2 linked regions of the Caenorhabditis elegans genome follow. The protein of the gene in region 1 interacts with the protein of each later gene in a pairwise test. Each region holds a gene or a part of one and is shown on either strand. Other genes may lie near its edges. The genes, in order: abcf-3 and gcn-1.

Region 1 (5,512 bases):
GCTCTCTCGTCGGCATGCGATCAATGGCCGAATACTACAGAGACAAAGGTCAACTGGTGGCAATGCTCAAATGGACCAGTTATGGTGACCAATGTTAATCCAACTGATAAGAGTGGTTCGCAAGTTTTCTGATAGTTTCTACGAATGTATAATTGAATCCAGGTAACAGTGAATATCCAATCCGTCTTACTGAACCACTTCTCATTGCAACATCCATCAATGATCCATCCTCAACTTATACTACTCCTGGACTTAAACAAACTATCAAGGTCTGGTCATGGAATATGGCTACTTGTGGATGGTCTTCAGTACCAACTTTTGGACTTTTGTAAGATTTTTGCTTCTTACAGTAACCTACAGTAACCTTTTCCAGGAACAACATCGATGCTTGTACCAACGGAGTACCATGCCCAATTGAACCGAAAAACAAGGTCATCAATTTGGAACTCGACTTCTCTGATACTCCAGCTATCATCAATCTTCTCAAGGTTATTTTGATGTGTATTCTTCGAAAGTTAAACCCCCAATTTCAGAACGATAAGCCTTACCAACTCGAGTATCTTCTTCATGATGACCCGAGCAAGGAAGACCTTTGCATTATTTTCCAGGCTAGAGCTCTCACTCATACTTAAATTTTGAAGTGAACAATTTAATAAAGCAATAAACTTTTTTCTCAACAAAAATTATAAATTGAATTCTTAAATAGTGTAACAAAACGTGGAAACTGGGTGAAATATGGGAAACAACCGAATGCGAAACAAAACAGGAAAAATTTAGGCAGTGAGTTGAAGCTGCTTGTAGACTTGCTTTCTGTATTCTTCGAGTCCTCCCTCCAAAGTTGTCACCATTCGATCCTTCACAACCCAAAGTTCCTTGCACACAAGCTCGATGAGTTGCTCGTCGTGAGAAACTAAAACGACACCTCCATTGAAAACATTAAGCGCTTTTCCAAGAGCTTCAACCGTTTCGACATCCAAGTGATTAGTAGGCTCGTCAAGAATCAAGTAGTTTGGCCTGAAAAATACTATGAATTAGACGGAGTTTGAATAAATTTTTTTTTCTAGGAAAAAATGAATATTTTTTGAAAATGTTGCTATTTTCAAGCAAAACTCACTGCATCAAGGCTAAATTAGCAAATGCCAATCGAGACTTTTGACCTCCAGAAAGTGTCTCAACAGATTGCAAAGCCATATCACCAGCTAATCCAAATCTTCCCAAAGCTGCTCGATAATCTTCTTGAGTCTTTCCAGGATGATTCTTCATCAACACCTCAATAGCTGATGTTTCCATATCCAATTGATCAACGTGATGCTGTGTGAAGTAGGCAATTCGAATACGACGATTCACATTTCGAAGTCCAACGGATGGTTGGAGATCATCGAGCAAAAGTTTCAACAGTGTAGTTTTACCGGCTCCGTTTTCTCCGACAATACAAATCCGGGAGTTGGCATGAGTTCCGAGATTGAGCTTTCGGAAAAGATAGGGAGAATCTTCGTTATAACGGAAGGATACTTCATCGAGTTGGAGAACTGGATTACTGAGAACTTCGCATTCTGGGAATTTGAAGTGAATGTCTGATTCGAGTTCGACAGGAAGAAGAACAGGCCTGAAAATCATAATAAAATTTTTAGTGACAATATTTTATAAAAACTCACAATTTTTCCAACATCTTGATTCTGGATTGAACCATTGGAGCTCTTTTAGCGTTGTATCTGAATTTGTCAATAAACTCTTGAGTATGCTGTCTCAATTGCTGTTGTGATTCGTATTCTCTCTGCTGTTGCGTCAACTTTTCCTTCATCGTCTTCTCAAATTGATCGTAATTACCCTTGTAGTGATCCAATCGTCTGGTGTGCAAATGAACAATGTCCGTGCAAATTTCGTTGAGGAATTTACGGTCGTGAGAAACCGTCAAAATAGTTCCTTCCCAACCTTGCAAATGTCCTTCCAACCAGTAAACCGCTCTCATGTCCAACATGTTAGTCGGTTCGTCAAGCAACAAGAGATCTGGCTTCACGAATAGAGCTCTGGCAAGGGCAACTCTCATACGCCATCCTCCAGAGAACTCCTTTGTTGGACGCTTCTGCTCGTCTGGAGTGAAACCGAGACCATAAAGAAGGGAAGAAGCCCGTGCTGGAGCTTTGTCAAGTTGGAGAGCTTCCATTTCGATGTAAAGTTTTGAAAGCTCGTCATTCCATTTGGTTTTCTCGGCGTCATTGATATTGTCCTTGTTTATACGACTCTGAAATTTTAATTTTGAAAAATGAATTAATTTTTGTTCAAATTAAAAATATATATTTCAAGAATGGAATGAATTCAAATCAGACTTTTTTGTCATATTATTCTCATTGAATATTAATATCATTTTCTGAATATCTCACTTGCAGCGTCTTTTCCCTATCAAGAAGTGTTTGTCTCTTCGTATCTGACATCAAAACAGCATCCAAAACGAGTGTATCATCTCCTTCCACTTCCTGTTCCACAGACAGCATTGAAATACCTGCGGGGATCTTCAACTGTTGGCTTGAAATCATTTTAAGCAGCGTCGTTTTTCCGATTCCGTTTCTTCCAACCAATCCATATCGTCTTCCAAATGCCATTGTGACATCGGCACATGAGAGAAGTTGTTTCGTACCGATAGAAATATCCACACTTTCCAGTTTGATATCCTTTGAGTTGGCTCCACGGGCACCCGAGTCACGAATTGGAGCTTGGGAAGCCGTTGCTGATGGCTCATTCTTCTTCTTCTTCCGTTCAACAGGTGCATCTGCACGAGCTTCTGCTTTCGCTGCAGCACGATCTTCGGCCTTAGCAAGTTTCTTCTTATCAACGGTAGTTGGAGTATCTCTTGTTTGTACTTTCCAGATGCTTTGAAGAGCTTCAAAGTTTTGATTTTCAGCAGCCATGTCAACAGTTTGCTCGAGACGTTTCGTAGTTGCTTCCTGTTGTTTGATAGCCTTTGGAAGGTTGTCTCCGTGAAGTAGTTTCAGAAGTTGTTGACAAGCATTCTTAGCTCCAACCTCGCAAAGATTTTCCACGGAAGCTTGAAGATGTTCACCAACGGCATCCATAACTTCATCTAAAGATGTGATCTCATCGGAATTCTCTTTGAGAATTGCAGAGACATAGTCTTTGATCTCAATTGGAAGTGTGGGAAAAGTGGCCGTGAGATAGCCAGGAATTGCTTCAACATTTGCCATTATTTAATTGTTCAAGAAGAACTCGTAACCTGGAAAAAATTCATAACACACTCGTAAATAAGTTGCGTTTCTCGTATCATACCCAGCCAATTGAAAAAGTGAAAGACGATGAAAACCGGAATGAGACTTGGAATCAGAAGAAGATAATACGTTTGATCGGAGATGAAAGAAGCTGTTAGCTCGTCCACCAAGTGAGATTCCTCTAGCATACACTACGAGTCCTAAAAAAGTAAGGTTTTATTTATTGGGTGGTGGAAACTGTATCATTATCCAAATGACTAAAATATTAATTTAATAAATACATGTAAACTGCTATAAACTCGACCAAAAGCAATTTATTCATCCGAAAATACTGTAAATGTGAGAGAAAACTGAATAAAACGAGATATGCGTCAACAAAATCGCCATACACGCCAGTAATCGTCCTGGCGCGTTTGCAGTCTCTAACTTTTTTTTGTTGCGAAACTGAATTTTTAGCTGGATTTCTCTTCAACTTACACGTTTTGTTCATTTTTTGTTAGTTATATTTAGAAGCTCCAAAAGCCTAAACTATTCCAATTAGCAAATTCATTATTGTCAAGACAGCCTTCTGCCAAATAACTGCAATGAATCTCTGATACGCGCGTGACGTGTTGCGTCGCGTTTTCTTCTCATTTTCAGTAAATTCCAGCTAGTTTGCCACTTCCTATCATTTGTTCTTTGTGCACAGTAACTTTACATGTCATATTCGTTATTTGAACTTCACTATATTAGAAAACTGTGCTATTGTCGTTTCATTTTAGGCCGTTCAAAATAATTTTACTCTCTAAATGTTCCACGTTTCAGTTCCGACTCGCTTTTCACAACAACACAAAATGAGTGACGATTTGAGCGCTTTCTTTGCTAAAAAGAAAGACAAGAAAAAGAAGTCCGCCGTTAAAATCGAAGAAGTCGGTCAAGCACTCGAACGAAGAGCCAAGCGTCAAGAGGAGTATGAGCAAGAGTCGGAGGATGTTTCTGAAAAGCGGGTAGAAGAGGAGAAGGCCGTGAATCCTAACGAAGAAAGTGAATGGATTGAATACGGAGAAAGTCAAGGAAGGTTAGTAGATTATTCGCTCCGATTTCATTTAAATATCTCATTTATTGCAGACTAGATGGTCTGAAAATCAAAGATATGGGTCTTGAAAGTGAACAAGATCAAGTAAATAACGAAGAACCAGAAGATCGCGAGGTTCATGAGACAAAGACTTGGGGACAAGTTAGCAGTGAAAAGAAAGCGACGGAGGAGCCGGAACAAGCTGTGACGATCAGTGACAAAGCAATGGCTGCCGCTTACAAGCCACCTGCAATGAGAAGACCAGGAGCTCCGTACAGACCAAGAGCTGCTGCTGCAAATCTGGATATGGGTAGTGACGCTGCCTTCCCATCATTAGCGGATGCAAGCAAAATTGAGAAGAATAAGAAAGAGGAGAGCAAATCACCAGGAGGTTGGGTAAAAGCTGGATCCGGTGGAGCTTGGCCAGGAAGTTCGGGCCCATCTTCAAGTGGGTCTTCAAGATCGTATCCGACAACTGCTGGAAGTGGACGTGATAGTGCTCTTGCAGCTCTCAAGGTATGTGTCAAGGAAAAATAATTACTCTAAGTTTTCAAGGTTTTAAAACTATCAAAAATCATTTTTATTATTCTTGAAAATGTCTAAATTCAACGTTTCAGATGATGAGCGCCGCCAATCCAGCTCCAGCGCGTAACGAGCCAGCACCAGCCCCTGCAGCTGCTGCTCCAGCATCTTCGGGAGCTGCCAAGGCTGGATCGTACGTTCCTCCACATTTGAGGAAAAATCAATAATAGGCCCAACTATTTTCTTATTCTTCTGTTTTCTGTGTTCCCATTTCCTTATTCATTGTTTTTCTTTATTCTATAATATCCTTTTTTTGGTTAGTATTCTCATAATTTAGTACATTATTAATTTCGTCCCTATCAACTTGTTATGTCCCAAATTTCTCTTATCATTTCGTGCTTAAACGCACTTCACTCTTTATTGTTGCTCTACCAATTCTTGAACGACCCACAATACCCCGTGAAATTTATAGGGTAGTTGACAGCGGACGGTGTGGTTTGAGAATTCACGTGAATCGAATTTTGGTATCTTTTTTCGAAATCTTATGCATTTCGAAGGTCGTCTCCTATTTTCGGTGTCACGCCAAAAATCTCAAATCCGCCTGTTTCGCGTGTCGTCGGTTACGGTTTCAACGAAAGAAAGTTTCAAAATGTTTTCCCCATGAGCACTTTGCTCTTTTTCTACTTGTGCTATTTATACAAGTGCTCTATCATAT
Region 2 (4,892 bases), 4.0 Mb from region 1:
TTTTCAGCGTCGCCAGGAGGAAGCTGAACGTCGAGCTCGCGTGGCGAGCACAAAATCATCGGCTTCATCTGAACAGGACCAATTAATGATGGAATTGGCGGAAAAAGTCGGCGGAATGGGAATTGGCAAGCGGCCGCGTGGAAAAATCGATAGTACACGAATGGATCACGGAGATTTCGAGAAGCTGATGAATGGTACGGGTTTTTACCCGGGAAAAAACGGATTTTTTTCGTTTTTCTCAATTTTTGGATCATTTTTCGCCGATTTTTAATGCCAAAATCGGATTCCCCGACACTTTTTACCCATATCTGATGTTTTTTTCGTCGAATTTCGAGCATTTCTGCATTTTGTCGTAGGCTCTGCGGTGTTTGCGTACTTTTGGAACTACCGTACCCCTCGAAATTCAAATTTTGAGCTAAGAACCCGGAAAACAAGTTTTAAGGCGTAAAAATAAGTGGGAAATTCGAATTTGATAATAAAAATTTGAAATTTCGACTGGAACGGTCTGAAATTTTAGTGTTTTGGACGAAAATTCATTTTTCAAAACAAATCACTGATTTTTGGGGTTTTTAATAAAAAATTCGAATTCCCCGCCACTTTTTACCCATATTTGACGTTTTTTTCGTCGAATTTCGAGCATTTCTGCATTTTGTCGTAGGCTCTGCGGTGTTTGCGTACTTTTGGAGCTACCGTACCCCGCGAAATTTAAATTTTGAGCTAAGAGCCCGGAAAACATGTTTTAAAGGGTAAAATTAGGCGGGAAATTCGAATTTGATGATAAAAATTTGAAATTTCGACTAGAAAAGTCTGAAAATTAAAAAAAAATTTCGAAAAAAAAAATTTTTTTTTTTCAAAAAAAAAATTTTTAATTTTAAATTTTTTTTAAAAATTCTTTTTAACATATTTCCAAAATTTCCAAATTTCCAGGTCTCAAACACACGGGCGGCACCACTCCGAATCGCCGAAAAATGTCAAAATCGCCGTCTCCAGCGCCACGTGGCTCCGCACCACCGCCAGTTGCTCCAAAAACTCGAGTCGTCAGTGTTGAAAGGGATCGACAATAAATTTGATCGATTTTCCCATTTATTTTCTCGTGTAAAATATGAAAATTTCTAGTTTTCCCCGTTTTTTCCCATTTTTTCTAACAAAAAATTCAAATTTCCCCCCTTTCCACGTGTGTTACGGGCATTTTTCACACTTTTTCTCTGCATTTTTGCCGTTTTTCCCCTTTTTTTTCCCCCGTGATTATTTGAATTTTTGAATTTTTTCGCTTTTTTGTGCGGAAAATTATTTTTTTTCTACTTTTTTCCTTGGTTTCCCCCCTTAAACCGGTTACAATACGCGATATTATTGTTTTTCTTTTTTTAAAAATGATTTTTTAATGAATAAATTTGATTTGTTTGAAAAATGTTTGAAAAAATTGCAAAAGAAAGTGTTCTGCGTAAAAATAAATTAAAAATAAAGAAAATTCAAAAAAATGGAGAAAATTCGAATTCAAACACCCGCGCAAATGAGGTACGTGATTTTGCGTGCGCGTGTCTGCGGACCGGGCATTTAATCTTACGGCACTTGGTGTTTTCCAACGCTGAAAATGATTTAATTATTTGTTTTAAGCCTAAATTTCTTAATTTTCAGCCGTTTTTCTCGATTTTTTCGATTTATAACCTAAAATTCATGAATTTTCGATCTTTTCAAGCCATAAAATGCTAAAATCCATCACAAAATCGAGTTGAAATCGACTTTTTTAGGCGGAAATTTCAGATTTTCGATTTTCAAGCAATTTCACCCGATTTTCAGATCATTCAACGACGGGTTACACTTTATTGATAGTGGAAAATGTCTGACGATGAAATAAAAAGCGAACATGTTCAGGAGAAGACGGAAAATCTGAGCGAGGTTCGGTTTTGAGGCCTAAAATTCGATTTTCGGCTTGGAAAGGCTTGCAAAAGCTTGAAAAAGCTTAGAAACTTGCATCCAGATGTGAATTTCATTGAAAAATCCAGAAAAATTTCCAAAAAATCGCGAAAAAACGCGAAAAAACAGTGAAAATACCAGAAATGTCCCAAAAACTCTATTTTTTAATTCCAGGAGGACGCATTAAAGGAAGAAATCCGCCGTTTTTCGTCGGCAGTTTCGAATCCAAGCCTTCGGGCTCATGGAATGGCCTACGCCGCTCTGACGAAGCTCATCGAGCGCCGCTCAACGGAAATTCCGGCTCAATTTGTGAAGGGGCTCGTCAAAATGAGCATTGCCAACTCGATTCGGCTCTATGGACAGCCAAAATCCTTTCAGGTAGCGGAAGAAAGCTGGAAAGTGTCGAAAAAACGAAGAAAATTAGCCTAAAATTGGACTTTTTCGTGACAATTGTGCAAAATTTCGCAATTTTTCACCTGAAAATTGCTATTTCTGCAGAAAAATTCTCAAAACTTGCAGATTTTCCTCTATCTTCGTCGAAAAACTCCACATTTTTCACGATTTTCACCTGAAATACTGATAAAATCTCGATTTTTCACAAAATTCCCGGATTTCCATTCAAAAAGTTGGATTTTTCTGGTTATTTACCAGAAAAATCCGAGAAATTGTCAAGTTTTTATCATTTTTAGTTCAAAACCCTGGAAATTTTTACGAAAATTCAAGATTTTTCTCTTTTTTCAACGGAAAAATCAGATAATATAAGATTTTTTTCCCGAAAAAACCCGGATTTTTCACACAATTTCACCTGAAAATCGACGAAAATCCTTTAAAAAATTCTGAATATCCATTCAAAAAGTTGGAATTTTTCGATTTTTTTCCGGAAAAAGTCCGGAAAATTGCAAATTTTTAAGACACAATGCGGAATTTTTTCGAAAAACGGTCTGAAATTCGCATTTTTTCACAATTTTCCCGAAAAATTGGGCTTTTCTTTCAAATTTCAGTAAAAAATTCCGGTTTTTTCGCCCGAAAATCCCCATAAATCCCTGAAATTTCTGGATTTCGATCCAAAAAACCGGAGTTTTCGCTTTTTTTGCCGAAAAATCCGTCAAAATTGTTCAATTCTCCATGAAAATTTCGAATTTTTGGATAAAAATCGGAATTTTTACGAAAAACGCTGGGAAATCTCACAAATTCCACTGGAAAATTGACGAAAATCCTCAAAATTCCCGTGTTTCTATTCAAAAAAGTCCGAATTTTTCGCTTTTTTTGCCGAAAAAGTCCGGTAAATTGCCAATTTTTACGAAAAACAGTCAAAAATTCGCAATTTTTCCGCAAAAATTAAGCTTTTCCATGAAATTTCAGACGAAAATTCCAGATTTTTCGCATTTTTCCACGAAAAATCGACCAAAATCCTCGAAATTTCCGGATTTTCATTCAAAAAGTTGGAATTTTTCAAACTTTTTACAGAAAAAGTCTTGAAAATTGCCAATTTTTACGAAAAACAGTCAAAAATTCGAGATTTTCCTCATTTTTCAACTAAAAAACCCGGATTTCTCACAAATCCCACCGGAAAGTCGGCGAAAATCCTCGAAATTTCTGGATTTCCATTCAAAAAAGTGGAAATTTTTCGCTTTTTTTGCCGAAAAACCCGTCAAAATTTCAAATTGTTTGAATGAAATCGGAATTTTTTTACGAAAAACAGTAAAAATTCGCATTTTTTCACATTTTTCCTCTGAAATTTGAGCTTTTCTATGAAATTTTAACCGAAAATTCCCGATTTTTCGCTTTTTTTTTACCTGAAAATCCCCATAAATTACTGAAATTTCCGATTTTTCACGAAAAATTTGCTGAAAATCGACGAAAATCGTCGAAATTTCTGGATTTCCAATTTAAAAAAGTCGGAATTTTCCAAATTTTTTGAATGTAAATCGGAATTTTCAATAAAAACAGTGAAAATTCGCATTTTTAAACATTTTTTTTCCGGAAAATTACCTGGATTTTTTTCACGAAAACCCGTCGAAAATTCACATTTTCTCTGCGAAAATTGAGCTTTTCCATGAAATTTCAGCCAAAAATTCCAGATTTTTCGGTTTTTTCAACCGAAAATCCTCATAAATCACTGAAATTTCCAATTTTTCAACAAAAATTTCCTTCCAGGCCGTCTCAAAATTGCTCCAAGTGCTCGCCAAACGTGATCCCATCTCCACACTCAAATCACTGCTCCAAACAATCACCACGGCTCTTCCAATCATCCCAAATCTCACGGAATCCCATAGTCTCTCACAAGTTCCAACGATGAAATGGCTTTTGGCCTGTTTGGATGGAAATTCCTGCGCTGAAAATGCTGTGGAAATCTTTGGAGCTCTCGGAGCAATCGCCTATTGGATGTCTGCTAGTGATAAAGCTTGGCGTGTTTTCACAAAGAAGCTGGCTCAGCTTTTCGCGAAAAATCCCGAGATTTCCAATGTTTTCACCGCAAAAATCGGGGAATTTTCAAAGGAAAATCCCGAGAAATCGTTGGCTCTGATCTCGGCTTTTGGTGCTCTTGGAGCCGCGAAAACTCCTGAAATTGCTCCAATTTTCGTCGAAATTTTCACAAAATCCCAGCTTCTCCCAAAGCTCCGACCACCGCAATTTTTCGTCACGAGAATCTCGAAATTCGCGGTTTTTCTCCAAAAATCGCCGGATTTTGAGACGAATTTGCTGCCAAATATGAAAAAAGCACTGCTCCGGAGCCCTGAAGTCGCGATTTTCGGAATCCGTGGGCTCTTGGAGCACATCAGCTTCTCGCTCGACTTTTGTGCTCAGGATTTGCTCAAATCTACGATTTCCTCGCTTTGTAACACGGATCCGGAGATTCGTGAAGCTGGAATCGGGATTGTGGTGGCTTTAAGCCGAAAATCGGAGATTTCAGTGATTCAGAAGATTCTCAACACGCTTCTCGATCAATTTTCGGCTGCAAAAGCCTCGGAAATTAA

The links.
Region 2: the proteins of abcf-3 (region 1) and gcn-1 interact in a two-hybrid assay, tested with the Caenorhabditis elegans proteins (one study listed by BioGRID).

The regions. Positions count from the first base shown.
Region 1 is NC_003281.10:6,171,314-6,176,825, reverse strand, and holds abcf-3 (ABC transporter domain-containing protein), read right to left. Parts: upstream 3,424-5,512; 5' UTR 3,283-3,423; intron 3,230-3,282; 5' UTR 3,201-3,229; coding exon 2,382-3,200; intron 2,243-2,381; coding exon 1,656-2,242; intron 1,607-1,655; coding exon 1,115-1,606; intron 1,015-1,114; coding exon 774-1,014; 3' UTR 655-773; downstream 1-654. Other genes in the region: F42A10.6 (MD-2-related lipid-recognition domain-containing protein), read left to right, coding at 1-115, 163-328, 374-488, 534-632; F42A10.5 (Protein CDV3 homolog), read left to right, coding at 4,055-4,278, 4,329-4,791, 4,893-5,024.
Region 2 is NC_003281.10:2,150,148-2,155,039, forward strand, and holds the start of gcn-1 (TOG domain-containing protein), read left to right. Parts: upstream 1-1,797; 5' UTR 1,798-1,836; coding exon 1,837-1,896; intron 1,897-2,088; coding exon 2,089-2,292; intron 2,293-4,071; coding exon 4,072-4,892. Other genes in the region: frl-1 (GBD/FH3 domain-containing protein), read left to right, coding at 8-194, 928-1,064.